Linked DNA regions of Cricetulus griseus. The protein of the gene in region 4 interacts with the protein of the main gene of each other region in a pairwise test. Links are inferred from orthologs where the notes say so. Each region holds a gene or a part of one and is shown on either strand. Other genes may lie near its edges. The genes, in order: Rbm15, Sf1, Wbp11 and Ddx17.

Region 1 (8,032 bases), on a different chromosome or scaffold from region 4:
AAAAGGATTTTCTAAGCCTGGCATTGGTGGTGCATCCCTTTAATCCCAGCACTCGGGAGGCAGAGGCAGGCGGATCTCTGTGAGTTCAAGGCCAGCCTGGTCTCCAGAGCGAGTGCCAGGATAGGCTCCAAGCTACACAGAGAAACCCTATCTCGAAAAACAAACAAACAAACAAACAAACAAAAAACAAAAAAAAGAAAAAAAGAAAAAGAAAAAGGGGTTTCTAACACTGACACTTCAAACCTCTATAAGGCCAGAGAGCAGTCAAAATACTAGAATACTAGACATTAAATTTCAAAGATATTCAAAACACTGTCAACAATGTAATGCCACTACTCTGGTTTAAATATGAAGATAAAATATGAAGGAATTTTCTTCAAATATATCAAGGGCATTTTACAATAACCTTAAAAAAAATCTGTAATTCAGATGTTTGATTAATGACCATGGGAGTGGGGGGGGAGTTACTTATAAGCCTGCAGACAGCTGTTCTTTCTATTACTGGAATCAGAAATTTCTTAAATGGATACAAAAAACTTAATTTTTGGTTTTGAAGTATACACAATTAAAACTGTATTTGCTGTACCCCTCAAAGTCAATAAAAACACCACTGTGCACCTAACTTACCAAAAACTTCTCATTTTAAAAGCACTTACTCATTTCTTGCAGACCAGCTAAAGATGTAAATGGTTTATAACACAAGCCTCAATTTTTACCAATTACAGCTACATACACAGGATACAAAACTCAAAAACTAATGACATAAATGTTAAAGCAAGCAAACTTTCTGGGAATAAGAAAAATACTCAAATACCTGATTAAAATAATTGAACTTTGGAATACCTGATTAATGCTTCTAGTATAGAAACTATCTATGCACCAATCACACTATTTTTTCAGTACAAAAGGCTCTTTCCTCCAAATTATGATTCTAAAAGTTGTAGGTTTTATCATTTTGAGGATTTTTTTTTAAACTCAAGAGACTGAAAAAAAAAATACCAGAAGAAAAAGAAAAGTAATTCCTAATTAAAGCAAATCCATCCTCTTGCTACCTTCAGGGCATCCCTTTCACTTAAAATAATAGCTAAATCGCCCCAATATCTATTTTAAGGAGGTTTACAAAAATATATATATAAAAAAACCAACTAAACTAATTGAAAGAAATTTATCTGATGCTGTATCCCATTACATATCACAAAACAAGGAACCATGTCAAAATAGTAAATACAAGTTACACATGGACTTTAGGACGCACCACGAACAATGATCATGACCAGGTAATCTTCTTCAGATTTGGCCAGTGCCTTGGCAGGGGAATCCAGGAACTGCTGAGAGAACTCACAAGGTGGGAAGGCATGAAGAACCCCTGTGTTCTCCTTGTCTTTGTTGCCCCCCACAGGGAGGCTGATCACCCCAGCTGCCTGCTTTTGCTTTAAATAGGACACAAGGTTCCTAAGTGGCCTCTGTGTAGAGGTGGCAGTGTCTGATGTAGCTGACGAAGAGGAGGATCGGCTGTCAGAACTTCCAGGTACAGCCAGAAGTATGGCATAACCATTGGGCCCTGCCACTTTGATGCGACGAGTTACTTCATCCAACTTGGGCTGGTCCAAACGGAGACGCTGAGTGATCTTGAGCTGGGCTACTTTGCCTCCAGTTGAACCCTCCACAAGTAGACTGCTAGCAACTTGGAGGTCACCCTGCAATAGATGCATGTTGGAAGGGAAGTTGCTGTTCTTCAGTAGAAGCATGCCCTGCCAAGCCAAACAGAGTTTGGGAGAGGATGCTGCCACAGGAGCTGTCCCTCCATCCTGTTTCTGGGAAGGAGCTTTCTGCTTTGATGATGACGCGCTGGCACTGGGTGCATTGCCATCAGAACGTTCTTCCTTTTTCAGAGGGTTTTTTCCCTCTGTGGGAGCAGCTGTCCGGTGCTTCCTATCCCGTTCAGCTGATGCAGAGTTTTTACGGTCTCGCTTGTCACTCTGGCTCTTCTCCAAACTGCCCCGTCTATCTCTGATTGGAGAGGGCCTTTCCAAAAGAAGACGAGAAGATCGATCGTTGTCACTGTTGTAGCGATCTCTGTTACTGCTCAGTTCTGGACTTCGGTCAGGAGAAGGAGTGCAATGACGTTTTCGTGGCCGGTCACTCTCAGGTGATCTATCCAGATGCCGTCCTCCACTTTCTTCAGGCAGCCTTCTCTTCCTTGGCTGGTCCCTGCTGCTAGGCAAATCCCGATCACCTCTGTCCCTGTCCAATGACCAGCCATCCCTCCTTCGATCCAAGCTATCCAGTGGCTCATAAGCAGTCACAGCACTAGCTGCAGCACGAGCACTGCGTTCTCGAACTGGTGGTGGGGGTGGCACCCAATCAGAATCAGTATAAAGGTCCCGATCACGATCTCTGTATAGTAAGGGTGGCGTCCTATCCCGAGCACTCCTCAAAGGGTCAGGCGCTCGATGCCCAAAAGTATCTGTCACTAGTTCATAATGAGTCAAGGGCAGAGGCTGAAGATACTGCTGCTGGTAACGATGCTCTGTGTCTGCAAAGTCTACTCTAAGGCGACGATCTGGGCCACCGAGTGGGAATCCACGCATATGGGTCCAGGCAGCATGAGCTGCATCCAAGCTTTCATACTGTATATATGCCCAACTATCACCTTTTCGGTAGTCAATGGTTCGTATGGTGCCAAATCGATCAAATTCTCGTGCCAGGGCAGCAAGAGGCACCCAAGGTCCCAGGCCACCCACCCAAAGTCGGGTGGTGGGTGTGGCTTTACCATAACCAATCTTGATTGGATTCCGAATTATAATTTTGCCAGACATTGCTAGTTTGGCCCTGTGAGACATGTCTAGGTTCTCAAATTTGAGAAAACCATAGGTACTGGTCTGTCCACGAGAAGGCCTCTTAATGTCCACTTCTGTGATGACTCCGAAACGATCAAAAGCCCTTCTTAGATCATTTTCTGTCACAGTGATGTCTAAGTTGCCCAAGAAAAGTGTCCGGTTAGCACGCTGATCATCCTCGGGCGAGATCTCATCCACTTCTCGGAAAGGAGCAGCACCTGCTCCAGCTCCCACCCTTGGCTCAAGACTATAAGCTGGGCGCACTCGGTCATAGAACGGGTAGTCTCGTTCTCTTTCCAGCTCTCGGGGCAATGGTGGTGGGGGTGGAGGCGGCAGGCGGCCAAGAGCCAACTGCTGCAACCGGTAGTCTCTGTATCCCAAAGCAGCACCGCCAGGGGAAAGTGATCTCTGACCTCCACCTCCTCCAGGGGCGTGCCTGTGGCTACCGACAGAGGTTCCGACCACGCTGGACGACGGAGGGTAAGTATCTTTGTCTAACGGGGAGCGGCTGCGGCGCCGGCTCACGTACACGGCTTCTATCTTCAGAGGCCGGTCATAGAGCACCAGGCGGCCTCTGGCATGCTTGGCCGCCCTCGCGTCCTCTGGCCTCCGGAAGTTCACAAAGGCTACCCGCTCATCCCCGCTGCCAGAACCCGAGAGGTGACTGATCTTGACACTTACATCACCGAAGCGTTTGAACTCGTGAAACAGGCCGTCCTCCACCGCCTCGTCGCTCAGCTGGGACCCCAACTCGCTTATCTTCAGGGTCTTGTACTCCACTCCGTCCCCGCCGCCAGGCGCTGAGGAGGCGGCCCCAGAGGAACGTGACTCCCCGCCTCCACCCCGGGAGCTGCTGCGCGACTCGCCCCCGCCTGAGGAATTTTTGGTGCTCGGGGAGCTGTAACTATGCAGGCGGCTGCTGGAGCTGCCCCCACCGGTGTCATACTCGCGGCTGCCACCTCGGCTGCTGGACTTATCCAGGTGAAGGCTCCGCCGCGACCCGCCGCTGTCCGTCTTCCCGCTGCTGCTCCCATTGCTGCCGCCAGAGCCCCCTAACTTCTTGCTCCGCTCCCCACGAGAACTGGAGTCCTCACCGCCGCGGGAGCGTTTGGGCTTCACCGGCGAGCGCTCCTTTCCTTTCATTGTTGAGGGTCGCCGGAGGTCGTCTCTGCGGAGCTGACTAACCCGCCACCCCGCGCTCGTTTCACACAGCGGACTCGCACGCCGCCATCTTGGACTCCGCCGCGGCAAAGGCTCCCGCCCCGCAGACCTCATTGGTCAATTAATTCACTCTTCAGCCTTCTCATTGGAAAAACTATTTGTCCGTCTTTACATCTCCCCGCGCTCCGGGAAGGCGCCCGCCTCGACGCTGTTATTGGGTTCCCAACGCCCTAATCCGCGTACCTCATTGGTTATATTCGTTGTCTATCTTAACGGTTCCTCGCGCCAGCCGTAGCTCCGCCCCTCGCACTTCACGGTCACCTGACCCGAAGCCTCGAGTCGTTGATTGGACAAAAAGTCTGCCCTGTAACGGTACTTCTAGCACGGCGAAAGCAGTGGTCCCACCTCCTCTTTCCTCTCATTGGTCCGTGGCCACGTCCTTTAAACCACTCCTTGGGAAGTACGGACTTCGGTTCTGGCGTTTTTTTCTGAAAACTTGGCTCTCCCGATCTCGCGAGACACAAAGAGCTCGCTCGCCCGCTCGCTCCCTTTCGACCCCAGTCTTCCAACTTCTCCGGCGGCCGGAGGAAGTTTAAATCTGATTGGACGTTGGCGAGGAAGCTGATAGGGTAACAGCGCTGTCCATCACTTACTTAAAGGAGTAGGCCCACAAACCGAGGCGTCTGAAGGTGAAAGACTAGAACACGCGCTTGCCGTGCGACGTCACTTAGCTGTCGCGAGACGGTGACAGCGAGTCGGGCCCGCCTCCCCGCGCTTTCGGCGTTCTCTTAAACATTTGTTAGGTCCTACGGCGTACTTGGCTGTGCTTCGGTCCTTCGAGTCTGGAACCCGCAGGCTCCGCACGGTCGGTGCTGTCTGGGCCGGACAGTGGGCCGGGTGGTCCCTCCGGCTGCTGGCCCTCGATCCCCTTAGGCAGCTGTCCCGGGAAGTCCAGCCGACACCATCTTAGTTAGCAGCCTGGAAAAGCCCCACCCCCGTGCGCGAGAAAGCGCCTGCCCGGGTCTGTGCAGCTGGCCGGGGCGGCGAGTTCAGGGTTCACTGAGCCTCGGGTCACGCTGACGCCCTGGGCGGTACCGAGTCTCTGCCCGCCCACCCGCGGACATAGGAAACGGCGCCCCGGAGACGTGGCCGCCCCAGGGCTCGCGGTGACCTGTGTTCACAGCCTCCAGGCCTACTGGTCCGACCTGCGGGCCACTGCAGACCTTCCCTGGCGCCTGTTTTAGGTTGTGAATCCCTGTAGGGTTTGCATTTGTAAAAGCCATGGAACGTGATATCGCTGTGCTTACCTTTAATATGTAACGCTTCTCGCTGTGCGGACACTTGACACTTTCTCTGGTTTCTTGTGCCGCAGCACTCCCGATTAATTCCTACTAGGATCCAGGAACACGGGCACTTTGCTACCTCCCTAGGCCCACCTCTTTAAGTCTTTTAATCATGATCCACTTCTCAACTCCCGGTACACCATCCAGGTACCTTTATTGTGTGTTGGGTAAATTTGTGCAATACTGTTGGATCATGAGACTAGACGGGTAGTCTGTTGCACTGGCATTTGCCTTCTGGTGAAGAGAAATAGGCTTCCTGCAGTCTCCCCAAGAACATTCCGGCCAAAATTTCTTGATCACATCAAAGGGATTTGAAAGAAGAAGCCCAATCAATATGTTAACTATAAACCTCCAAATACTGTAATGCACAGATATACTTGTATTAAAAATAACTCTTGTGGGGCATTGTGGAATAGCTGTAATCCCAGCTCATTAGCCTGAAAACCTCAAAACCACTCACACACAAAAGAAGTCTGGAGACTTGGGCACCATGTATGAAGCTCTAGATTCAAGCCCCAGTACTTGGGGGAAAAAATGGGTTTTAAAGTCTTATTTTTTTCCAGGCAAGGTGGCTCATACCTTTAACCCCAGCACTCAGGAGGTAGAGGCAGATGGATGGGTCTCTCTGTTGAAGGCCACCTTATCTACAAAGCGAGTTCCAGCTAGGGCTGTTACACAGAGAAACCCTCCCTTCTCAGAAAAACAGAAAAAAAACAAAATGACAACAACAAAAGACTATTTTTTTTAGCAGGACATGATGTACTCATTTAATCCCAGCACTTGAAAGGCAGGCACAGGAAGATGTCTGTGAGTTCAAGGCCAGTTTAGTCTACATAGTGAGTTCTAGATCAACTAGGACTATATATTGAGACCACACACGTGCGTGCTTGTATGTATGTGTGTGTTTGCATGTATGCTAGTATTCTGGTGTCCAGAGAAGCGAAAAGAGAGTGACAGATCCCCGGAAGATCCCAGAATTGTGAGTCAACCTGAGCCCTGGGGAACAAACTGCAAGTAATTTTAAAACAGCAAGTAATTTTAACCCCTGGGCCATCTCTCCAGGCCGGCAAAAATAATTTTTTAAAAGGCTGTTAACATAAAATACCACCAGTCAGAGAAAAATGTGTATGATAAACTACCAATTGTGTTTTTTAACATTGTATGTGTATCATATACATATGCTTGTATTTTTTTTTCTTTTTGGTTTTTCCAGACAGGGTTTCTCTGTGTAGCTTTGGAGCCTATCCTGGCGCACTTGCTCTGGAGACCAGGCTGGCCTCGAACTCACAGAGATCCACCTGCCTCTGCCTCTCGAGTGCTGGGAATTAAAGGCGTGCGCCACCAATGCCCGGCTATATGCTTGTATTTTTAATTGATAGTTACAGAGATTGCTCTCAGAGACAGAGCTGAGGATCTGGAATTAGCAAGGGACTTTTGATATTATAAATGAAAATTTTCCTTGTATAATTTTGGTTTAAAAATATACAGTAGTGTTAGATCCCCGGAAAACTCAGGTATCCGGGGCTTCGGTCACCCCAATCACCAGGCAGATCCGAGAGCATGCTGCAAACTGCATGAGGCTTTATTGTAATTTAATGAGCTAACCCCATGTTAGCTGGGGTCTTTTACCCACCCGCCATGGCGGATGGCTAGAAAAAGACAGCTCGGCTTGCCCTGTGTTGATTGGTCAACTGGTTGTTATGGCCCATAGGCCCTCCCAGGGTGGTTGCTATGCTTTGTGGGTCATTGCTGTGCACTTGTCCGTAAAGCACACACGCAGGGTCGTAAAGCATAGCGCCACCAGCTAACTTCTGATTGATTCCTTGTCACAAGGAAGGCATCTGACCTCTAAGTGACCAAGGCAAGTTATGGCAAGCATATATTCGGCTGTTATGGCTGCCGAAAGGGAAGCTAGTCCCTTCAGTAGTAGAATATATTTTGAAGACCATCCTATCTGCTGAGCACACAGTCTCAACAATTGTAAGATCATGTCAATCGTTTTCTTTAAATCTACAATCCTATTCCTATTCTTCCCTGCTCCATTATTTTGTTCCATGCATACTTGATACAGTTTCTGCCTCAGATGTAGAATCCATCATTCCTACATAATGAAAAAGCTTTTCAGAGGTGTGCTAATCTATCTCAAGATTATATGCATACTACAAAAAGGGAATTGAAGTTAAGCCTTTGCCTGATTACTGTAATAGCCAATCCAGAAAAACTGAGAAGTGACTTTTTTTTTTTTGGCTTTTTTTTTTTTTTTTTTGAGACAGGGTTTCTCTGTGGCTTTGGAGGCTGTCCTGGAACTAGCTCTTGTAGACAAGGCTGGTCTCGAACTCACAGAGATCCGCCTGCCTCTGCCTCCCAAATGCTGGGATTAAAGGCATGTGCCACATTGCCTAGGGAGAAGTGACTATTTTTAGCCTACATTGATTAACATAAATGACTCACTGATCCAAAGGAAAGATAAGGACCAATCAGTGTAGGAGTTTTAAGAGCACTAGAACTAAGAAAAAAAAAAACTGAAGGAGATGAAAAGGGACAATATGTGTGATGGTGCTTGAAGCATGCCAGGATTAGTGGGTTGTCGTTTGGTAGAACTTTTCCACATCTGACAATGGTAAGAAGGCTTCCTAAGGAAACCCGTAGCCTTTCTGGACCAAAAAGACTGGTAAGTTTAAAGTTAAC
Region 2 (7,302 bases), on a different chromosome or scaffold from region 4:
AGTCTTAACTGCTAACCCCTCTTCCAACAAACTGTTTGCTTCCTTAAGTGATAACCATTTTGAAGTGAAAATTAACTGTAGATGTAAATGGACTCCTGCTGCTAGGTGGTTGGGGGTTTTTGCCTCAGTGTGTCACTGATCAGTCATCCCTTTCAAAGTCTCCGAGTTCTTCATGCTTGTTATTGAGATTTGAGATGTTTTTTGGTAACATTGTCTTTTTTCCATCCTTTTTTTTCTTTCCTAACCTGGTTTCTTCCAGTGCAACTACAGATAGAAGACCTGACTCGTAAACTGCGCACAGGAGACCTGGGCATCCCCCCTAACCCTGAGGACAGGTTGGGAAACAGTTTTAACCAGCTGACAGTAACGCTTTTACCTTTTTCTCAATATGTTTTTACTGGTGGCAACATATTGTGTCAGTTCAATAAAATCCTAGTTAAGACGACTGGTATTCTGACCAGGGTTTAGTAAAATGTATGCTCAGTCAACAGTTAGAAAAGTTGGAATGGTATTTAATGGGAGAATAAGTTAAAGGAAAATGGACAACTGGTTTCTAATTGGTAAGCATGTAGATTGTAACCTGAAAATTTACCCACCCCTAGGGACAGAGAGGGGTGGCCATTAACCTGCCTTTTCACTGGCTGCTTTGGCTGAAAGCACAGGGGGAAGTTTTTCTCATGGTATATTATGCAGGGATTTGAGAGTATTTTTAACCATCACTGAATTTGAGCAGGCCAAGCTTGTTGAAGTCTTACCTGCTTGTGGTTTTGAGATTGTTTTAAAATCAGGAGATTTCTAACCAATTTCCTTCATTGCCAATTAATTTTCAGCCTTGGCCATTGCCTGCGGGTTTTGGGAGGGAAAGGCAAGCAACCAACCCCTAAATTACTTTTTCCTTTTTTAAAGGGAATGTGGGCCTCAAACAGCTGTGGTCATGCCATTTCAGTTTATAATTTCTCTCGCCTCTGAAAAGTTAAAGTTCATGTGAGAGAGGAACTTTTTAAGTGGAATTGTATTGGCTGATAGACCTTTGAACAGCTAATGTCTGGTCACTTAATTGACAGTGAACTTCCACTGAAATCCTTCTTAGTGCATGTAGTATAGTTGAAAAGATTGCTTTGAAAGTGTTTCTGGCTTTTGTTATCCTGGTAATGGCTTTAGAAGTTGCACACAGTTCTGCTGCCCCTTGCCATGAAACAAATGAACTTAATGATGTCTCCATATTCATCTTGTGCCTATCAAGTTTGTTATTTTTTTAACAAGTAGATTTTGATTGGAAAGTTGTATTTTATATTTATTTTTTGATTTGAAGATTTTTATTTTTTAATTTTTTAAAGATTTACATTGTAGGTTATAGACCACAACTGTTTAGTGCCTTTTTGGCCTTTTCCCCTTTAATGGTATGTCTACAGGTTACCAGGCAATTCCTCCAAAGGTTGAGTTTTTAACAAACCTTGTTTGCTTCCTGGAGAACTGGGATTAGAGTGCAGTTGATGTCTCTGATGCCTCTTCTAGGTGAAGAAGTCCGGCCAGTCTAACCTCTAGATTGCTAGCTTTTGCTTTTCACTTCCACAGTTTGGGAAGAGGTTAAATGGTTATGAAGTTTAAGCCTTTAAAAGGCCAGTTTGGTTCTGGTACAATTTGGTATTTAGCCAGAAACATTTCGATTCTAGATAGCAAATGGGGTGGGCATGCTAGAAATGAGTAAAACCAGAGCAGGGATTTTCCTCCTTGTATATATGCTCAATTTTGAAAGAGGCCCTAATGCCTGATTGCTTTTGCTTTTAAGCCCAGGTTGGAGGGAAATACATGAGTTTCTTACCTTACTAAGATGATTTCTTAAGAAGTTGTATTTCAAAATTAAGCCACTTTCTGCTATTTTGATGTTGCTTAACTTGCACAATTAAAATGTTTTAAGATCTGTTGTAGATTTAAATGTGTAAGATGATAGTCTAATGAGCTGGGGATATTTGCTTGTGTTCACTATGGTTGGATTGTGCTAACAGTTCATACAGATGCTAGAAACGGAGGTGTCATTTAGCCGTCATTAGCCATGAACAAACCTGACCTTTTATTCCATCGTGTGTGTAACCTGGTATGACATGGTTCCCTTTAGGCTGAAGACAGTGGGAGCAGCCGAATTCAGTTCTTGCTCTCCAACTAGGCACAATTCTCTCAACTAAACCAAGGGTGTAGGAGTCGGGACTACTTTTCAGGATGTTTTTTAAAATAACCTGATCCACATGGTCTCTTCCCTTCTTGCAGCTGCTACTAAATTTTCATACAGAGTATCAAGCTATGGTCCTTTTTGTAATCTTAACTCAGAATTCTAGGAGTTTAACTTCTCTTTTTTGTTACCGCAAAATCTAGCTGTGGTAAACTGACCATTTTATCATTACATATATATATATATATATAATATTTTTTATTTTTATTTTTTACTTGTAGCGTCAGCATTTTACTCCTTAAAAATGAGAGAGAAATTTCTGCTTTCTGGACTTGTAAACTCTGATGGAGAATTGTAGATCCCCCTTGCTGTTGGCAGGTTCAGACCCTAGACAAGTGTTTGACCAAATCTGCATTTGCAGCCTCTTGCAGAAGCTGCCTTAGCACTTTTAACGGTTTTCTCTACCCAGACTCCCCACCTCGAACAGCCAGCCAGGCCATTGAAGGAAAAGCAGAGACGAAGCCTTGCACCATTTCTCTCCATTGTGGGGGCTAAGTAGCTGTAATAGCTTGAGTCCCAGCTGCTTTGGGTGAACGAGCTTGTGTTCACTATGTGGCAGGGGTACAGATGCTCTTCCTAATAAGACAGTTCACCTATACTCATGTTTCTGTGGTTCATCAAGTTGGGTTATAAATTTTTTCAAATGAAAGGATCATTTGGCAAGAAGCCTCCAGAGGATGATACTGTTCTTGCCAGTAAAGGTCCAAAGGTTTCCCTTTAATGGACCCTTCCTCAGTCAATTTTAGAAGTGAAGGAATTTTTCCTTTTCTCACATATACCCTACATTGCTTAATGTTAAGTCAGATTCCATCTCCCCCATTCCACACGATCTTGAATAGCACACGTTATGGTCGGTTCCTCCGAAGAGTTTTGTTAGGATCTGAGAGGCAGAGGGCTGGGGAGACTTGTTATAGTCCATACATATGGGAGCAAGGGGAATTGGGGGCAGAGCAGTAATGGGGATCTGTCTCCCACAGGTCCCCTTCCCCTGAGCCAATCTACAACAGTGAGGGGAAGCGGCTTAATACTCGAGAGTTCCGTACACGCAAAAAGCTTGAAGAGGAGCGACACACCCTCATCACAGAGATGGTCGCCCTCAACCCAGACTTTAAACCACCTGCAGATTACAAGTAAGCAGAGTCACAGGTGGTTTGGGACAAGGGCACATTCGGATCATACGTGATCTGCTGGGACGATTCTGGCTTACTACTTACCTTTTGGCCATATTATCCTTAATTCTCACATGGTATATTCTTGATTAATTGTGTACCACCTCCCAGAAATTGAAATGGTGATGGTCTTTTCTTTCTCAGGCCTCCAGCAACACGTGTGAGCGATAAAGTAATGATTCCCCAAGATGAGTATCCAGAAATCAATTTTGTGGGTCTCTTAATTGGGCCCAGGTGAGTAATTACTAGTCCATGGCACTCATTGACTTATCTTCAAGGTTTGAGATTTTTATTGTGTTTGGGTTTTGGTGTGATGTTTTGGCTGAATTATGCCTTAAATTTGATCTACACACACACACACACACACACACCTCCATTTTCTGTGGTGAAGTAAAATCCTGAAATGCTGACCTTAATGTGGTATTCTTTTTTGGTTTTTGGAGGCTGTCCTGGAACTAGCTCTTGTAGACCAGGCTGGTCTCTAACTCATAGAGATCACCTGCCTCTGCCTCCTGAGTGCTGAGATTAAAAGCATGCGTCACGAACACCCAGCTTTAATGTGGAGTCCTTGGTGGGGAAATCTTGGTGCTCTGCATTTTGCAGTTTGCTACCAATGACTACTCAGCCCAGTGTTTTTAATCTGAAATAAGAATTTGCACTGAATGTCTAACACTCTTTTCTGCTTTTCAGAGGGAACACCCTGAAGAACATTGAGAAGGAATGCAATGCCAAGATCATGATACGGGGGAAAGGATCTGTGAAAGAAGGGAAAGTTGGGCGCAAAGATGGTCAGATGTTGCCCGGAGAGGATGAACCTCTTCATGCTCTGGTCACTGCCAATACAATGGAGAATGTCAAAAAGGCAGTAGAACAGGTGTGTGGTGAGCCCAGGAGGAGGCTTCTTGCTGGAAACCTAGGTGATGGCCCCAGGCGCTTGACAACTAACTGCTGGTGTTTCTTAATAGATCAGAAACATCCTGAAGCAGGGTATTGAGACCCCAGAAGACCAGAATGATCTACGGAAGATGCAGCTTCGAGAGTTGGCTCGCTTGAATGGCACTCTACGGGAAGATGATAACAGGTCAGTGATAATGTTGAGAAGACTTCCTAGAAATCTCAAGAACATTTTGAAGTGGAAAGGTGGTCTCTACAGGTCTTTGAATTGATCTCTCTACCTCAACAGGATCTTAAGACCTTGGCAGAGCTCAGAAACACGCAGCATTACCAATACTACTGTGTGTACCAAGTGTGGAGGGGCCGGCCATATTGCTTCCGATTGCAAATTTCAGAGGTGAGATCTGGCTGCTGTTGAAATGGCTCCCTAGCAGCCCAGTGGTCTTCAGGATTCTCCTTTCCATACTGGCTGTGGTTAGTCTTACTAAAGCAGCATCCTTTCTGTGGATGTGGCTGGGTGGTGTGAATTTTAAACTTAAGGGTCTTGAGTAGAAGAAACTTGTAGAGCCTCCTGTTGTCTTGTCCAGAAGCTTACACTCTGGCTATGTATCTGTTGGGTACAATATTAATGAGTGTTCACTGCTTAAGATTTGTTAAGACCAGTGGGTTTTATTTCCATATGGCCCTTTTTAGGGGGAGATGGATATAGTTTGTTTTTCTAGGTCTTGCATAAAAATTCCTTTTCTCTCAAACAGGGAAGATAGAGGTAGAATTTTTGTATTTTTTAGACTGGGTTTTTCTTATGCATGTATGTCTATACTGTAGTGGTTGTGGAGATTAGAAGAGATTTTTAGATCCCTTACTTAGATCTGAAGTTAGGGGCAGTTGTGAGCTGCCATGTAGGTATTGGAAATTGAACCCAGGTTCTTTGCAATAGCAGTAAGTGCTCTTAACCCATCTCTCCAGCCCATGGAGGTAGGGTTTGGTAAAACATGAGAGGTGAGGGTCTGGAATGGTGGTTGGTCACTTCTAACCTAGGGCCTGGACTGTGGCTGACAGTGGAGAACCATTTCCAGTGAAGGGCTAGAAAAGAGGGCAACATCCTTGATTGAAATAGAGCTTTCTTGATTATTTTCTCCTTTCTTTGTGTTTCCAACCCTACCTTAGGCCTGGCGACCCTCAGTCAGCCCAGGATAAAGCACGAATGGATAAAGAATATTTGTCTCTTATGGCTGAGCTAGGGGAAGCTCCTGTCCCTGCATCTGTGGGCTCCACCTCTGGACCTGCCACCACACCCCTGGCCAGTGCACCAAGACCTGCTGCTCCTGCCAGCAACCCACCACCACCGGTGAGCCCTGGGACAATTCTCTGGTCTAGCTCCCCCATTCTCTTCTGCAAAGAGACTAGGAGCTTTGGCCAAAGATCTGGGGTAAAGCTTAGAGGTGAATGTAGCTGGCAACATTGTTCTTCTGGGATGTCAGGCCTTTGTGGGGTCTCACTGTGGGAGAATCCTGTGCTTGTGTTCTGGTCTCGGGACATAGTCAGAAGAACAATGTTGCCACCAGGGGGAGCAGGCATGGACATTGGCAGGAAATGCTCTCATGTAGTCTCTTATGTCTACAACGCAGAGTCGCCCACCCTGGATGAATTCTGGTCCTTCAGAGAATCGGCCCTACCATGGCATGCATGGAGGTGGTCCTGGTGGGCCTGGAGGTGGGCCCCACAGCTTCCCACACCCATTACCCAGCCTGACAGGTGGGCATGGTGGACATCCCATGCAGCACAACCCAAATGGACCACCACCACCTTGGATGCAGCCACCACCACCACCGATGAACCAGGGCCCCCACCCACCCGGACACCATGGCCCTCCTCCAATGGGTAAGTAAGTGTCAGACCAGAAACCTTGGGGTTTGTGGGGGATGGATAGGCTCATACCAAGTGACTCTGAGCTGTAAGCAATGCTGAATGGCTAGCCAGTGCTCTGAATCATGCTGAGGCCTCGGCTTATAGAGTACCTTCTATGTGGGAAGGCTTACACATTGTTACAGCAGAACTTTTGGGAGGTTAAAGACTCAAAGCTTTGTAACTGAGAAAGCTATTGGGGGTGTCTTGCCTGGCCAGTTCAAATGTCCTGCTAAGTCCCTGCTCTTTCCTTCCATCAAGATCAGTACCTGGGAAGTACGCCTGTGGGCTCTGGGGTCTATCGCCTGCATCAAGGAAAAGGTAATGCTATTTACTCGGGATTTCTGTCTAAGGCTAAAAGTAAATGGAGGCTCTAGCCTGGGTCTCCAATTCTCTAAAGCCTAACTCATGTTTGCCTACAGGTATGATGCCGCCACCGCCTATGGGCATGATGCCGCCGCCTCCGCCACCTCCCAGTGGGCAGCCCCCGCCTCCTCCCTCTGGTCCTCTTCCTCCATGGCAGCAGCAGCAGCAGCAGCCTCCACCACCCCCTCCGCCCAGCAGCAGTATGGCTTCCAGCACCCCCTTGCCATGGCAGCAAAGTGAGTGGAATATTTTGGGCTTTTGGGGGTGGGTGGGATGTGGGCTGGGGCTGAGAGGAAAAAAAAACCTAATATCTTACATGGGCTGGAGACACCTTGGGTGAAGAGACTATGGTCTCAGCAAAGGCAGTGGGGTGGAAAGCCAGGCTACTTGGCCCAAAGGAATGTCTTGGGGAGGAGAGCTGATGTTTGGTGTGGTTGTGTTTGGGAGACACTTGGGAGGTCTGGAGGGGAGCCTGCTATTGTAGATAGAGCACTCGAAGTCCAGGCTAAGCTGCTGAATGAGCTGCTGGTTTGGCCGTGCCTTGTGCGCGGAGTCATTGGGATGGTGCATGCATGTTCTGGAGGGGGCTGTGATTGGGCCTGAGAGACTGCAGAGACAAGGGGTCGGTCAGTGGGGAGAGAGCAGCTGTGGGCTTGAGGTTGAATGTGCCGTTCGGTGGTGGCGGCGGCTGGGCGGAGGGACATCAAAGCCGGTTCTTGTGTCTGGTACTTTCCCCTTAGC
Region 3 (7,939 bases), on a different chromosome or scaffold from region 4:
CACCTACCCTGGTGTGGAATATTTTAAACTATCAAATACATACATACTAAATTTCTATCAGTGTTGCTGTAAACCCAGAGGTCTTTATACTATTAACTCTAGACACCTGGGAAATACACCTGGTAGACACACATTTAGTGCAGTGGCTAGGGATGGGGAAAGAAGGAATGGTAGCCTGGAGCTAACCTCTGATGGGTGAGGATTCAGCTCAGTTTGTAGAAAGCTTGAGCTGAATTCATCAAGCTCTGGGTTTGGACCCCAGCATCGAATATACCAGGCAGGGGGCACAGGCCTGGAATCACAGCTCATGGGAGGCTGAGGCTGGAGGATCAGAATTCATACCTACTCTGGGCTACGTGAGATCCTGTCTCAAACACGTCAACCCTGATGAGTTCTCAGAGAAAGCGTTTAGCTGTGGCTACTCTGAAGGCCTCCTGAGTAGAGTCTCATACAAGTACTCTGTGACAATTCCCGTTTAATTTTTCAGAAACTGTAGCTGAAATATGGCTCAGAGTGACTTCCTCTACCCAGAAAACCCAAGGAGGCGGCAGGAAGTGAACCGTCTTCACCAGCAGCTCCTGGACTGTTTGTCTGACAGCTTCCAGGTCACCAACAAGCTGACCGGGGTTCTGAACACCCACTTGGGCTGTAGGCTGGCCTTCATTGAAATGAAAAGAGATGGAACTATCAAAGAAAACTGTGACATCATTATCCAAGCCGTGGTAAAAATCCAAAAGGAACTGCAAAAGGTGGACGAGGCACTGAAAGACAAACTAGAGCCAACCCTTTATAGGAAACTTCAGGATATTAAGGAGAGGGAGACGGAGAAGATGGCAATTGTGCAAAAGGTCATTTCTGTCATCCTGGGGGAAGCAACATCTGCCGCCAGTGCGGTGGCTGTTAAACTCCTGGGCTCAAATGTCACAACCGGCATAATGAACAAGCTGGTCACTGTGCTAGCTCACATCGGGACGTCTCTCCTTGGTAGCATTGGAGTTGCTGTGCTTGGTCTTGGCATAGATATAATCTTTCGTGCCATCCTGGGAGCAGTGGAGAGGTCGCAGCTTCAAGCAGCCATCAAAAGTTATGAGAAGCATCTAGTGGAGTTTAAGGCAGCCTCAGAAAGGTACCACCATGCCATCACTGAGGTCACCAGAGCCGTGACGCGCCAGATAAGATGAAGTCATGAACCCACCACGGGCATAGCTCTGTGTCTCCCTCTCCACCTCGATGCTCCTTTGTTTAACTAGTTTCATTGCCATATGCCTCTGATGTGGACAGGGATACAGCCAATGGTTTGGAATGCTCGGCTTCTGTGACCCTCGGTTTTACTGGACCCTCAAGGGATAAGTCTCTGTCTGGGAGTTTTCTTCCCCTGCTGTCGTAACTATGTGGTAGAAAGACATCACAGAGCAGCAGATAGGGAATTATTTCCTTGTTCCCAATCAATGTCCTCAAACATCCTGTATAAAGCAGAGGCCATTCCTATCACCCGTTTCAAACATCGCTTAGGTCTAATGAGACAAACACCTGTGACCTTCCAATGACCTAGAAATACTTACATATTTTTACCACTAGGTAAAATCCAATTGTCTGTAAACTGGAAATGACTGCAAACAACATTTTCTTCAAGAATAAAAGGAGACAATGGATCTGTGAGCTTCTACTAATTACAAAGTGTGAATGGATGGATTTGGGAAAGGATAAAATAATAAAACTTGTTTCTATGATGCAATTGACATTGACCAAATGTCTATCGCTTCAGCAGCAGAACACTCTGGAACATTAAACACACACACAAACACACACACACACACAAGAAATAAACCCCAGATATCCATGCATAAAACATACTAGGGTAAGGAAGAAGACTGTACCTTTTAGGAATTTGTCATTTACCACCCAATTTCAGAAACAGCCAGAGGCTAATGGAGGCCTATGGATACAACTTAATTTCTGTAGACACAGCATTTGTTTTCTAAATCCTTCAACTAACAATTCCCATTGAGCCATTTTTTAGGGTCTACTTTGAAAATTATTATACTGGTTTTTTGTTTGTTTGTTTGGTTTGGTTTGGTTTGGTTTGGTTTTTCGAGACAGGGTTTCTCTGTGGCTTTGGAGGCTGTCCTGGAACGCACTCTTGTAGATCTGGCTGGTCTCGAACTCACAGAGACCCACCTGCCTCTGCCTCCGGAGTGCTGGGATTAAAGACGTGTGCCACCAACGCCCGGCTTAATTATTATACTGCTAATGCTGAGAATGTCCTTGTTATAGTTGCTTTGTTTTTTTGAGTACAAAAAAAAAGTTGTTGAAATAAAATACTCAGTATCTGTCAAAAATCTTACAAGTAGATGAAAAATTTTAACTAGCCACATGACTCTTTCAAATGTACTTTTTTTTTTTTTTTGTAATCGCTGCTTTTATGAATTAGTTTCAACTTCTCACAACTTGGGTCACCTTCAGGGTTTTTCACTATTATTATTATTACTACCTGATTTGTAAGTTTTGAACCATTAGATCTTGCTATTGCTGACACTCACAGAGTAATCAAATTTAAGAAGACACCAGGGATTTTTAATACGACACCCAGGTGTGTGATGGCTCATGCCCGTTAACTTCATCAGTCAAGACAACGAGGCAGAAGGATGGGGAGATGGAGGTCTACTGATGGAATAAGCAAGTCGGGGATTCCTAAGGGGCCTGTCTCAAAATTTAACTTTTTCTTTGGGCCGCAACAAAGCTTAGACTAAGTATGCGACTGATGCCACAGCGTCCGGGGCCACAACGTAAAACATTCTACCCATGGGCAGACGCCTCTACCAATAGCTGTGAAATACCTGATGTCAAAAAATCCCTCTTATAACTTTTGTCTGCGCAGGGTCCTCAGATGAAGCTGAAAAACCACCACGCGCGCGCTTTACGGAGATCTCATAGCCAGTGTCTCTCCTTGAAGGGGGAAAGAGAGGGTGGGGAGGCTCTTAAGGGTCGGGGTGTGAAGGGAGAGGAAGGACGCAGACGACGGGGAAATCATTCCGTGGGTGCAGTGACATCACAAAGGACGAGCAGCCCCGGAGCGGGAGCGTCACGTGCCGCCTTCTCCGGGGACATCTGCGGCGCGCACCCGGTTTCTCTCCCAGGACATTTTTGTTTCCCGTGTGTAGATGACAAATGAGTGACTCTCGCTAGGAAATGACTTTTGTGCTCGGCGCGGCACAGGCTGGGTTTCCGGGAGCGCCGGGCGCTTTAAACTCGGCGCCCGTGGCGTCCATCCGGGAACTTGTCTCCCCGCGGAGGCTTTCCCGAAGGACAGCACCCAGTCACACCCCAGCACACCGCGGGGGACAGAAACCAAGCAACACGCGGCTCCGCCCGGGCGACGCGCCGCTACCTGACGTCTGCGCAGAACGGAAACCGCGTCAGAATTCCGAGCGGGGTAAAGCGATCGGCCAATCAACGGGCACCTTCCCTCTTTGGTTCTCATTGGGCGACACCAGTGTCAATCTACGACGCTTCGGAGTGAGGCGGGAGGGGGCGGGGGCGGGGGAGGGGGTGGCGTTCTTGGCCGACAGACAGCCAATCGGACGTGGGATCGGAGCGGAAGCAACTCTGGCCCCGACGACGCTGTGTCCTCTCGATAGTCCCCGGGCCTGGGCAACGCGGTGAGAGCGTCGGCCGCGGGTGCCGGAAGTGACGCGAGGATGGCGGAGGGGCGCGAGGTTTCAAGATGGCGGTGGCTGGGTGGTTGACCGAGAGGCAGAGGTGAAGGCCCCGCCGCCCAAAGCACGCCGGCACCGCCCGCTACCCGGCCTGGCCGACCCGGGAGCCCCGCAGTGGCGTAAGTGTGCGCGGTCGCGACGCTGCGGCTCCCGCCACGGCCTCCGGGGCCCGCGCAGCCGCTTCAGACCCCAGCGCCGGGGGCCGCGCTCTTCCCCCCGCCGGGCCGGGCCGGGGTCGCGGGAGCCGCGGGCGGGAGGGCTCCGGGGCCGGGGTGCTGCGGCGGCCGACGGGCGCTCGGCCGGGCGCGGCCCGCCCGCTGCGTTGGTCCGCTTCCCGTTGGCGGCGGCCGGCCGCTTGGCTTGACGTGCGGCCGCTCGAGTCGGTATCAACCGTCGCCATGGTTTCGGCGGTTGCGGCGGCGGCGGCCTGCGGGCGAGCGGGCCAGCGGGCGGGCGAGCGGCCCCGGCTCCTGCGCTGTCGGGGGCCCGCGGCCCCGTCCTCTCCCGGGCGCCCCTGCGCTGACGAGAGTCGCGCTTGTAGACCAAGACCGTGCGGTCTCGGAAAAATTCTCAGCGGCTCGCGGCTGCCGTGTTTTCAGTTGTGGGAGGGGGCAAAGAAAAATTAAAAAAAAGGTCAAAAGGTGAACCCGAATATATAAAATAGAAAGCTATAGAAGTCTGTATCCGTGCCTGCTTGCTTGCTTTCTTCCTTCCTTCCTTTCTTCCTTTCTTCTAGTTCTCTATAATCAATGCCCTTCTTTTCCCTTCCTCTCCCCATCATCCTGCCCCTCCTCTTTTCGGATAACGAAACGTTTTTATAGTGAAATAGTCTCCGGGCAGTTGATCCCTTGGTGAGAGAAGCATTAACTAGAAAGAAAAACAAAACAAAACAAACAGAAAAAAAACCCTACGAAGTCTTCACAGAGGAGCCAAGGGAATTACAATTGTGGGAGTCTGTTAAAGTTGTCTCGGGATCTACCTATTCCCTACCTTCAAAGGTGTCTTTTTTAAGAAAGAAAGTCGACTGGTTGGGTGTGCAAAGGGGGAATACCTGTAGCCAAATGTCACATCGTTTCAACGGCTAACATTTCTTTACTGTATTATTGGAAAGGTTAAATTTTAAAGTTAACATTCATCCATTTTGAATAGAAGAACTGATACTAATACAAGCTTTGAAATTATTTTCCTACAGTGACCTGCCACTTTTAGTTACCTTAAAATAAATCAAGAGTCATATGTGTTAGTAAGAAAAGTATGTATGTTAATATTAAGATTGGGAAGTTCTATTCATTTTTTTTTTGCTTGAAAGTCATGAGTCATATTTGACTTGGTATTGAGTCTAAATTAAGTATGTTTAAATTAATTACCTTTTACCATCTGTGGGGTTTTGAATGAACAGTGCCTATGCCAAGGAGAAAAGTAGAGAACATATATTTGTCTTTGAGCCTAGAGTCATTATCACTACTTCTCTTTGACTTCACCTTATATATAAAGGGGGAAGGGTGTAGGAAATGAACTGTTGACTTCTTACACTCCAGGTTTGTATCACATTATTAAAACATTTTCTAGTTGGGTTTTGTTTTGAGATAGTCTTTTATGGCCCAGTCCACATTCCAAGTGCAAACTCCTAGTTGAATTTTTTTTCAGTTGACAGTGCTACATAATCCATAGCAGAGTGTTAAATGTGGAGAGTTCATGTGTCTCGTTGCCTTGACTGTACAGATGTTAGCTTTTCTGTGATGAAGAAAGGTAAAGCCATATTATATGTTCAAAATTAAAGAGCAAGTTCTTTTTTTGTTTTGTTTTGTTTTTTGTTTGTTTGTTTTTTTTCGAGACAAGGTTTCTCTGTGTAGCTTTGGAGCCTATCCTGGCCTTTGCTCTGGAAACCAAGCTGGCTTCGAACTCACAGAGATCCACCTGCCTCTGCCTCTCAAGTGCTGGGATTAAAGGCATGTGCCACCAACGTCCGGCAAAGAACAAGTTCTTACAAAATTAATAATCAGAGGGGTATTTCCAGAAATTGATGGGAATTCTAAAAAGGAAGACATGTTAAACATACAGGAAAACTGAGTTCTTTTCTTTTTCCAGGTTTCGTTTTTTTGTTTTGTTTCTTTAATGAAGAAGTAAATCATATAAATTGTCAACATGGGACGGAGATCAACATCCTCCACCAAGAGTGGGAAGTTTATGAACCCCACAGACCAAGCTCGTAAGTGCCATTAGTGTGAAATGATGACGTTGAAGAGTTAAAAACTGCAAAGAATATTTCCCCGAGGCTTAAGCAAGTTCAGCATTGGTAGAAGGGAGTTGTGTGAAGTCATGTTGAATTCTTAAAATTAACTCACATGACTAAAATGTTGAGAGTGTACATCAGTTAAAACCATGTTCTTGTCAAGCTTTGTTGGCTTGCAGGATAAAATTGGATTGTTTTTCTTTTTGTGTTGGAATTTTTAAACAAATGAGTTTTAAGCGCTAGTTTGGTATTTGAGAATCTCTTTTTCTCATTGGTTCAGTTATTTCTGTGAAAAGAAACATTTTAGCATCTGGAGTTCTTAGGGTTAGAAGTGCTGCAGTTGTGCAGTTGTCTGCAGGTCGAAGCCACCGATGCCAGTGCATATCCAGGTGTTGCATAGGGGAGCCTCAGAAGAAAAAAGTGTGTGCTGTCTTGTGGTAATGTTAATGTTGAAGATTTGAGGTATATGGTCTCTTTCCCTCTCTTTAGGAAAGGAAGCCCGGAAAAGAGAATTGAAGAAGGTATGAATTCAGACACATTCTGTATATTGATTGAGATTCATGAATGATAATAACATGTAAATTATATGCTAGAAAAGATGCTTTATACTTCTCATGAAAACCAGACAGTTTACTATGTTTAAAAACTGATATGACTGATAAAACTTTGGACATTCCATTCATAGTGCTTGTTTGACACTGTTTATGTAATTCTCCTGCCTCATAAGTTTAAAAAAAAAAAAAAAAGAATTCGTTGGGGGCCGGAGTAATGGCTCAGTGGATAGCTTCACGTACTGCTCTTGCAGAGGATCTGAGAGTTCCATCCCCGGCATCCATGTTGGGTGGCTCACAGCCATCTGTTCCTCCATCTCCCAGGAATCCAACACCCTATTCTGATCTCCACAAGAACTCATAAGCACATGCCTACACATTCACACAAACACGCCCATATATAAAATTATATTTAAAAATGCCTTTTAGAAATAATTCTTAAGATGATTGTGGTAGCACACTCCTGTAATCTCAGCACTTGGGATGTGGAGATCAGAGACAAGAGTATCAGGAGTTCAAGGCCAGCCTGGGCTACATCAGACCCTGTCTTGAGAAAGTAATTATTTTTACCATGTACCAAAATGTAGCTGCTTTGTTAAAAGCTATTGAATGAATGCCAATAAATGTGTTGGTGGATATCTTTGTGTATCTAATTAGCTATTGAATTTTGACAGAGTAATTAGAGGGGTAAACATTTGGTATCACTCTTCAATGCATTCAGGGCTTTTATAATCTCTGGTATGCTCTCGAGTCTTTCAAAAATATCCCTATCCAGCATTGTATTTTTTTTTTTTTTAATTTAACAGCAGCCCTTTGTTTTTTGTTTTTAAAAAAGTTGTTCCTGTGGTAGTTGCTAACAGTCTAACTGGGTTGAAAGAAATACTTTCTGTGAAAGCATACCTTTTTAGCAATGTCCACACATTGTTGAGAACAAGAAATCTCATAACTGTTCCTGGTGGTTTAAACATGATTTGAAACCAAAGGAAAATGTGAAATGATTTAGATTCTTGAGGCAAATTGAAGTAATAATGTCCTGAGCATCCAGCCTCTTAGTAGTCTTCTCTTTTGTTTTTCTAAGAACAAAAAACAACGAATGATGGTCCGAGCTGCGGTTTTGAAGATGAAAGATCCCAAACAGATTATCCGGGACATGGAGAAATTGGATGAAATGGGTAAGAGTATATGAAAAGGCCAGATTTATTAACAGCTATAATAGTGTGGTCCCCAATGGCAAGCAGCATAGGCCTAAGAAAACCGAGCAACCTGATGGCATAGGACACGACATTTTGTTGTAATGTTTTGGAAATAAAGTGAAGAGATAAGATCCATTGCAAGCTGGAGATCACATGTCCTAGAAGAGAGAAGCCATCATTCAGTTGGGATTACTTAATGTTATTAGGCAACAAAGGCCGAGTCTGGCCAGCTCACTTTATAATTGT
Region 4 (7,302 bases):
AAGTAACCCTGACTGGTCTGGAATTGTTTTGTAGATATGGTTAGCTTTGAACTTGAGCTGATCCTTCTGCTGCTGTACTGGGATTACACAGTACTACCTATCCTGGCTAGGAATTACTCTTGAGAGGTTTTTCTCCTATGGAAAATGGAGCCTTTTGCTCATGTGCATCACAAACTTGAACTTGTGTAAAAAGTATTCATATTTATCATTGTGTGATAATAAAGCTTTTAAATTGAAAAGAGCTTTTATTGTCTTTCTTCCCCCCCCCCCCCAATAGTATGAAGTTGATGAGCTGCGGCGAAAGAAAGAGATTACAGTGAGAGGGGGAGATGTTTGTCCAAAACCTGTCTTTGCCTTCCATCATGCTAATTTCCCACGTAAGTGTTCTTTAATCCTACATTAAGTGGTAGGTTGCTTGAAGGTTTTGAAAGGCTTGGGATTTTGTTGAAACACAAAAAGAAACCTTTTATAAAGGAAAGATAGTAGTAGACAGACGGTGATTGCTCACACCTTTAATTCTAGCACTTAGCAGGCAGATCTCCTGAGTTTGAGGCCAGCCTGGTCTACAGAGTGAGTTCCAGGACATCCAGGGCTACACAGAGAAACCAATGGGGTGGGGGTGGGGTGTGTGTGAATGAGAATGGCTCAATTGGTGAAAGTCCTGACTTTGGAACCCATATAAACAAGAAAGGAGAAAGCCCGCTCCACCAAGCTCTCCTCCGATCTTCACAAACTCATTCTGCAAGAACTATTGACAGCTGAGCCATCTCAGCTTTGGGCTTGTTTTGTTTTGTTTTTGAGACAGGGTTTCTCTGTGTAACAGCTCTGGCTTTGAACTCAAAAGAGATCACCTGTCTCTGCCTCCCAAATGCTGGTGTGCTTCACCACTACCCAGTTTCTGCATTTCTTTTAATGCCAATACGTACACTGGTATTTTGCCCTTGGTGTTTTACACAGCAGCCAAATACTGCTTCTATGATATAGTATGAACTTTGGGAACAGTAAGTGACTCTTGGGCCTGTGCTGTTAGCTAAATTAGGATGGTAGTTCTCAAAGGTAGTAGTGAACTGACAAGACATTGAGTTTTTGATAAATTCAAGTAAGTCTTAAATTAAGTAACTGCCACTTTTTTGGATTTCAAGACCAAAGGTATGTGTCACCACTGCTAGTCTTAACTGCTACTTTTAAGACTTCATGAGTGTCCTTAGTTTTGCTAGTAAAAGTAATAATGCATTCACTTTTTTTCAGAGTATGTGATGGATGTGCTGATGGATCAGCATTTTACAGAACCAACTCCCATTCAGTGCCAGGGATTTCCTTTGGCTCTTAGTGGCCGGGATATGGTTGGCATTGCACAGACTGGTTCTGGGAAGACATTGGCGGTAGGTACCAAGTCTTTGACATTGTAGTAACTTACTTTATTAGCCTAGTTTTCTTACATTTTCTCTGGTCCCATGTTGCCCGCCCCCATCCCCCCATAGGGTTTCACCGGGTAGCTCCAACCAGAGAACTGCCTGTCCCTACTGCCTCCCAAGGGCTGGGATTAAAGTTGTAAGCTATCATACCCAGCTCACATTTTCTCAGTTCTTAGACTCACAGTTAAAATACTGTGTGAAAGCTGGGCATGGTGGGGCACACCTTTAATGACTGTACTTGGGAGGCAGAGACAGGCAGATGGACCTTTGAGTTGGAAGCCAGTTTGATCTATGCAGTGAAGTTCCAGGGTAGCCAGAGCTACATAGTTAGACACTGTCCCAAGAAGGCCAAAAAATAAAATACTATATGTTCAGTATTTTAGCTGTATGTTTACATTGTACTTGAATGTGGTAATATGTTCTAGTTTTCTCACTTTCTATTAGGGCATTGTTAATTACTGATTTAAATTAGAATCGTTACGATAATGGCTTGGGTTTTTATGACATTTTTGATTCTTGTTCCTCCTCAGTATTTGCTGCCTGCGATTGTTCATATAAACCACCAGCCATACTTGGAAAGAGGAGATGGTCCAATTGTAAGTGTGCTACAATTTATAATTTTTAAAAATAACTACATTGAATGATAAGTTGTTTTAGGCACTGTGCCTAAAACCCAATTTAATTACTTTTTTAAAAAAAAAATTATGGAGCCGGGTGTTGGTGGTGCATGCCTTTAATCCCAGCACTTGGGAGGCAGAGGCAGGCAGATCTCTGTGAGTTCAAAGCCAGCCTGGTCTCCAGAGCAAGTGCCAGGATAGACTCCAAAGCTGCGCAGAGAAACCCTATCTTCAAAAAACAAAAAAAAAAACGTTTATGGGTGTTTTCCCCGGGGGTTGGGGAGTGTTTGGTGCCATGGAGACCAGAAGAGGGCATTTAATCCCCTGGAAGTGGAGTTACAGACAGTTGTTATATACAGTGTGGTTGTTAGGAATTGAACCTAAGTACTCTGGATATAGGGCCAGTGCTCTTAACCACTGAATCATCTCTCCAGCCCCTGCCCCAATTTAATTCTTAACCCTTTTCTCCGTATGTAGAAGTGGCTCTAGCCCATCCTTTTTTTGTTGTTGTTGTTTTGTTTTTTGCTTTTTGAGGCAGGGTTTCCTGGAACTCGCTTTTGTAGACCAGGCTGGGTCTCAAACTCTGCCTCTGCCTCCCAAGTGCAGGGATTAAATTGGGCATGTACCACCACTGCCCTGCTTGGTACTGGCCATCTTACTTGGAATTAAATAACTTACCCAAAGTTACACAGCCATGAAATGACAGTGTGAATTTGAGGCATTCTTCGTCTTTCCTGTTTGTGATTCTGGGTAGTTAACTTGTGCCCTTGTGTGTGCTAAGAAACTCTGCTTCCTTGTACCTAGCCTTTGAACCAATCTTTGCAACAATTCAAGTACAAGCCTTTGTTTTAGGGTTTGTTTTTTGTACTGGGGGTTGAACTTAGGGCCTGATGCATGGTATAGGTAAGTATTTAACCACTGGCCTATATCCACAGCTGCAAACACAATGCTGGGTTGCTCATTTTTATTAGTTTTGGTTATTTTTCTGTAGGGAGCAGGTACATGCCACCATATTCTGTGCAAGTCAGGGGGTCAACTTGTTAGGGTCAAGTCTTCCCATCATGTGGGTCTCAGTTCAAGTTTTCAAACTTGGGCAAGCTTCTTTTTTTTTTTTTTTATGTAGAATAGGCTCAGAGATCATCCTTTCTCTGCCCTTCTGTGCTGGGATTATAGGTGCATACCACCATGTCCCTGTCTGATGCAAGCATCCTTACTTGCCAGTGTGCTCTTAACCCATGAGCCATGTCTCCAGCCTTTGGGGGGGCGGGTTCAAGACAGTGTTTCACTGTCTAGCTTTAGAGCCAGTCCTGGAACTCTGTAGACCAGGCTAGCCTTGAACTCAGTGGAGTAAAGGCATGTGCCACCACCACCGCCTGGCCTTTTTTTTTTTTTTTTTTTCCTTCGTTTAATTTTATGTGCATTGTGTTTTGCCTGCATGTATGTCTGTGAGTGAGAGTGTAAGATCCTCCAGAACTGGAGTCACAGACAGTAGAGAGCAGCCAATGTTCTTAACTATTGAGGCATCTCTCCAAGCTTAACTTTTATCTGTATTCCCTGCTGGTATTTATAATTTTGTTGCATGAATTGTCTTGTGTCATTCCTGAGCCGTCGCCCCACACACACAGTGTTTCTCTGTAACAGCCCTGAATGTCTCTGAATTTGCTTTGTAAACCAGGCTGGTCTCAATCTGACAGCAGAGATCCACCTGCCTCTGCCTCCCGAGTGCTGGGATTAAAGGCGTAGGCCACCACCGCCCAGCGACACATGGATATGTTTTATGCTGATTGTTCATCTTGTAAGGTTAAAAGTAGGTAATACAAAACTAAGTGTGATAGTGCATGTCTTTAATTCTGTACTAGTTAGGTAGAAACAGGAGGGTCAGAAGGAACTTCAAGGTCTTCCTCAGCTACATAGCTAAAGGCTAGAGAGTATATAAGATCCTCTTTATTGGACAATAAGGGGGAATTAGACTACCTTTTGGTTCTTAGGGTTATTGGGGTTTTTGTTTTTTTGGTTTTGTTTGTTTGTTTTTTGTTAAACTTGGAGTGGTTGTCTCAAGTTTATTTGCTTCCCCCCCACTTTGTTTCAGTGTTTAGTGCTGGCTCCTACTAGAGAACTTGCTCAGCAGGTGCAGCAGGTGGCTGATGATTATGGAAAGTGTTCTAGGTTGAAGAGTACATGCATTTATGGAGGTGCTCCTAAAGGTCCCCAGATTCGAGACTTGGAGAGAGGTAAAAAAAAAAAAAAAAAAAAAAAATTGTTTTTATTCTTTGCCAATTCTTGTAAATAAAATTGAGCAAAATGGGTTCTTGTAAGGAAATTCAGTATTTTCAGTAGTGTAGAAATTCTTGGGATGCAGTTCTGTTAGCTACTTTGTGGAGAGCAGCTGGTGGCTGGAGATCCTTAACCTACTCTTGTGAAGTCTCCTTACGTCATGCTCTTCAGATACTGTAGGTTTAACAGCTGCTGTGACAGTGGATGCAGCTACCAGGGCTGTTGGGTCTTAGTTTCTGTTTACTGAGGTTTGGATAGTTTATAAGAAAGGGTTCTTCATGGGCTATATCTTTAATTTTTTTTTCCAGGTGTTGAGATTTGCATAGCCACTCCTGGGCGCCTAATAGATTTTCTGGAGTCAGGAAAGACAAACCTTCGCAGGTGTACTTACCTTGTGTTGGATGAAGCTGACCGAATGCTTGATATGGGCTTTGAGCCCCAGATCCGTAAAATTGTTGACCAAATCAGGGTTCGTAAAGCTGATACTTCATTAATATTTTTACCTTTTTGCCTGTCATATAGTTCCTTAATATAAAGGAAAACCTTCATTTCCTGATAGCCTGACCGGCAGACACTGATGTGGAGTGCAACCTGGCCAAAGGAAGTAAGGCAGCTTGCAGAGGACTTCCTGCGTGATTACACCCAGATCAATGTGGGCAATCTGGAGTTGAGTGCCAACCACAACATCTTGCAGATTGTGGATGTCTGTATGGAAAGTGAAAAAGATCACAAGTATGAAAGAATACTTCATTATCTTGTTTGTTTGTTTTTTTAATGGTTTTTCGAGACAGGGTTTCTCTGTGTAGTTTTGTAAACCAGGCTGGCCTCAAGCTCACAGGGATTCGCCTGCGTCTGCCTCCTGAGTGGTAGGACTAAAGGCATGTGCCACTAACGTCTGGCAGTTTGAATTATTTTTGAGACAGGGCTGCACTAGATATCCTAAGGTTGCCCTCAAACTCATGGTCCTCCTTCTCAGCCTCTAAATTGCTAGAATTACAAGCTGTACTATACCAGAGCTAAAATGCCAGGGTTTTTTTAGGTTGAACACATCCTTTGTGTGTCATTCATTGGCGCATTGTAGTTAAATGCGCAATGATCTTGGATCCTTGGAGTTGAATCCAGGCTTTTTAAATGCCAGCTGTATAGTTTTAAGGCAGGTTTAAGGTTTACTTCTCATTGCCTCCTTGTCTGATTTTTGAGATAGGAATAGTATCAAATCAGATTTGCTTGAATCTAGTGTGGATTAGTTGGAATTTGATTTTATTTATGTGTGTGAAACGTGTATGTATCTTTGGCAGTCCTGGAGCTCGAGGTGTGACAAGATGGCTTAGAGCTGCCTCCCATGTGCTGGCTGGCATATGCCACCACACTTTATGTGTTGTTGGGGATTCAACCCAGGGCATCATGCATACTGGTCAAATATTGTAACCACAGTTTTTGTTTGTGTTCCTGCGCCATGCTCATAAAGGCAAGAAAAGAATTGGGATCCCCTGGGGCTAGAATTATAGATGGTTGTGAGCCACCCATAGTGCATGTCCACAGCCAGTGTCCGTCCCCTCTGTAAGAGCAGCAAAAACATTAATCCCTTCAGTTACTGAATTATTTTTTTCTTAAAAAATACTAGATGTAGATTAAAGTATCTGTGACCAGGCTGGGTGTGGTGGTGCAGACCTTTAATTAATCCCAGAGGCCAGCCTGATCTACAGAGTGAGTTCCAGGACAGCTAGGGCTACACTATGACCCCTTGAAAAACAAAGTTAGATTTGAGATCTTCTTTTGGAAGAGAAGGTTCTTGTTATGTAGCTGAGGTTCCCTCTTGAATTCTCCATTCTGCTTCAGCCTCCCAAGTGATACTGGTATTATAGGCATGTTCCACCACAATCTAAACTTTGGGAGTTAATAGCATCTGTGTTTGATGTACAGGAAGGACTTTTACTGTGTGAGGCTGCATTGTTTGGTCTTTTCAGATTGATCCAACTGATGGAGGAAATCATGGCAGAAAAAGAAAATAAGACTATAATATTTGTGGAGACAAAGAGACGCTGTGATGACCTCACTCGAAGGATGCGCAGAGATGGGTGAGTACAGCACATAGGTAGCTTTATGTCAAGTGTTTCTCAACCTATAGGTCATGATCTTTATGTGTGTGGGCCAGGGGAAGTGTCAGACAACCCTTTCACACAGTGGTTGCATATAAGATATCCTTCATACCAGATATTTACATTATGATTCATAACAGTAGCAAAGTTAGTTAATGGAGTATCAATGAAATAATTTTATGCTGGGGGGTCACCACAGGAACTGTATTAAAGGGTTGTAGCAATGGTTTAGAACATGTATGTATGTATGGTATTTTAGCCTGATGTGTATGTATAACTATTATGTAGCTTAAAGAACTTGATCAAAATTGAGTACTAAGACTTTTGTAAAGATTTCTAATATGTAATTTTCTTCTGATAGTTGGCCAGCTATGTGTATCCATGGAGACAAGAGTCAACCAGAAAGAGATTGGGTACTTAATGGTAAGAATAAGACAAAGCATTTTGAGATAGGATCTTGCTATAGATCAGGCTGCCCTTGAACTCACAGAAATCCATCTGTCTCTGCCTCCTAGATGTTGCTAGGATTAAAAATGTATTCTTCTGTGCCTAGCACAATAGTTTTTTGACACCTATTTGTCCTCCCTCTGTGTGTGTGTGTGTGTGTGTGTGTGTGTGTGTGTGTGTGTGTGTGTGTGTGTGTGTAGCAGGGTTTCTCTGTGTAGCTTTGAACCCTATTTTGGCACTGGCTCTGTAGACCAGGCTGGTCTAAACTCACAGATATCTGCCTGCCTTTGCCTCCCAACTGCTGGGATTAAAGGCATGTGCCACCACTGCCCAGCCCACCCCCTGTTTATAAAGAACCAGATAATAGATTATCTGGGGCTTTGTTCATCAAATAATGGGTTGGGTGATTTCTACACAAAAACAAGTGGTCATAGACAGAACTGGCCTGGC

What was found.
Region 1: the proteins of Ddx17 (region 4) and Rbm15 interact in binary tests that used the Homo sapiens proteins (3 or more experiments, as listed by UniProt). The link is inferred for Cricetulus griseus from reciprocal best matches to the Homo sapiens genes DDX17 and RBM15.
Region 2: the proteins of Ddx17 (region 4) and Sf1 interact in binary tests that used the Homo sapiens proteins (3 or more experiments, as listed by UniProt). The link is inferred for Cricetulus griseus from reciprocal best matches to the Homo sapiens genes DDX17 and SF1.
Region 3: the proteins of Ddx17 (region 4) and Wbp11 interact in a two-hybrid assay, tested with the Homo sapiens proteins (3 studies listed by BioGRID and IntAct). The link is inferred for Cricetulus griseus from reciprocal best matches to the Homo sapiens genes DDX17 and WBP11.

What each region holds. Positions count from the first base shown.
Region 1 is NW_023276806.1:49,810,835-49,818,866, reverse strand, and holds the start of Rbm15 (RNA-binding protein 15), read right to left. Parts: upstream 5,025-8,032; 5' UTR 4,116-5,024; coding exon 1,256-4,115; intron 1-1,255. UniProt on the Homo sapiens protein: RNA-binding protein that acts as a key regulator of N6-methyladenosine (m6A) methylation of RNAs, thereby regulating different processes, such as hematopoietic cell homeostasis, alternative splicing of mRNAs and X chromosome inactivation mediated by Xist RNA.
Region 2 is NC_048596.1:52,981,728-52,989,029, reverse strand, and holds part of Sf1 (splicing factor 1), read left to right. Parts: intron 1-259; coding exon 260-335; intron 336-3,204; coding exon 3,205-3,357; intron 3,358-3,540; coding exon 3,541-3,630; intron 3,631-4,086; coding exon 4,087-4,270; intron 4,271-4,361; coding exon 4,362-4,477; intron 4,478-4,579; coding exon 4,580-4,687; intron 4,688-5,457; coding exon 5,458-5,638; intron 5,639-5,897; coding exon 5,898-6,171; coding exon of another isoform or gene 6,172-6,175; intron 6,176-6,456; coding exon 6,457-6,516; intron 6,517-6,617; coding exon 6,618-6,797; intron 6,798-7,302. UniProt on the Homo sapiens protein: Necessary for the ATP-dependent first step of spliceosome assembly. Binds to the intron branch point sequence (BPS) 5'-UACUAAC-3' of the pre-mRNA. May act as transcription repressor.
Region 3 is NC_048601.1:12,196,757-12,204,695, forward strand, and holds the start of Wbp11 (WW domain-binding protein 11), read left to right. Parts: upstream 1-3,669; 5' UTR 3,670-3,835; intron 3,836-5,804; 5' UTR 5,805-5,861; coding exon 5,862-5,925; intron 5,926-6,438; coding exon 6,439-6,470; intron 6,471-7,578; coding exon 7,579-7,672; intron 7,673-7,939. Other genes in the region: Smco3 (single-pass membrane and coiled-coil domain-containing protein 3), read left to right, coding at 504-1,181. UniProt on the Homo sapiens protein: Activates pre-mRNA splicing. May inhibit PP1 phosphatase activity.
Region 4 is NC_048595.1:376,706,683-376,713,984, reverse strand, and holds part of Ddx17 (probable ATP-dependent RNA helicase DDX17), read left to right. Parts: intron 1-277; coding exon 278-377; intron 378-1,248; coding exon 1,249-1,382; intron 1,383-1,945; coding exon 1,946-2,011; intron 2,012-4,121; coding exon 4,122-4,263; intron 4,264-4,614; coding exon 4,615-4,775; intron 4,776-4,865; coding exon 4,866-5,038; intron 5,039-6,273; coding exon 6,274-6,384; intron 6,385-6,766; coding exon 6,767-6,828; intron 6,829-7,302. UniProt on the Homo sapiens protein: As an RNA helicase, unwinds RNA and alters RNA structures through ATP binding and hydrolysis.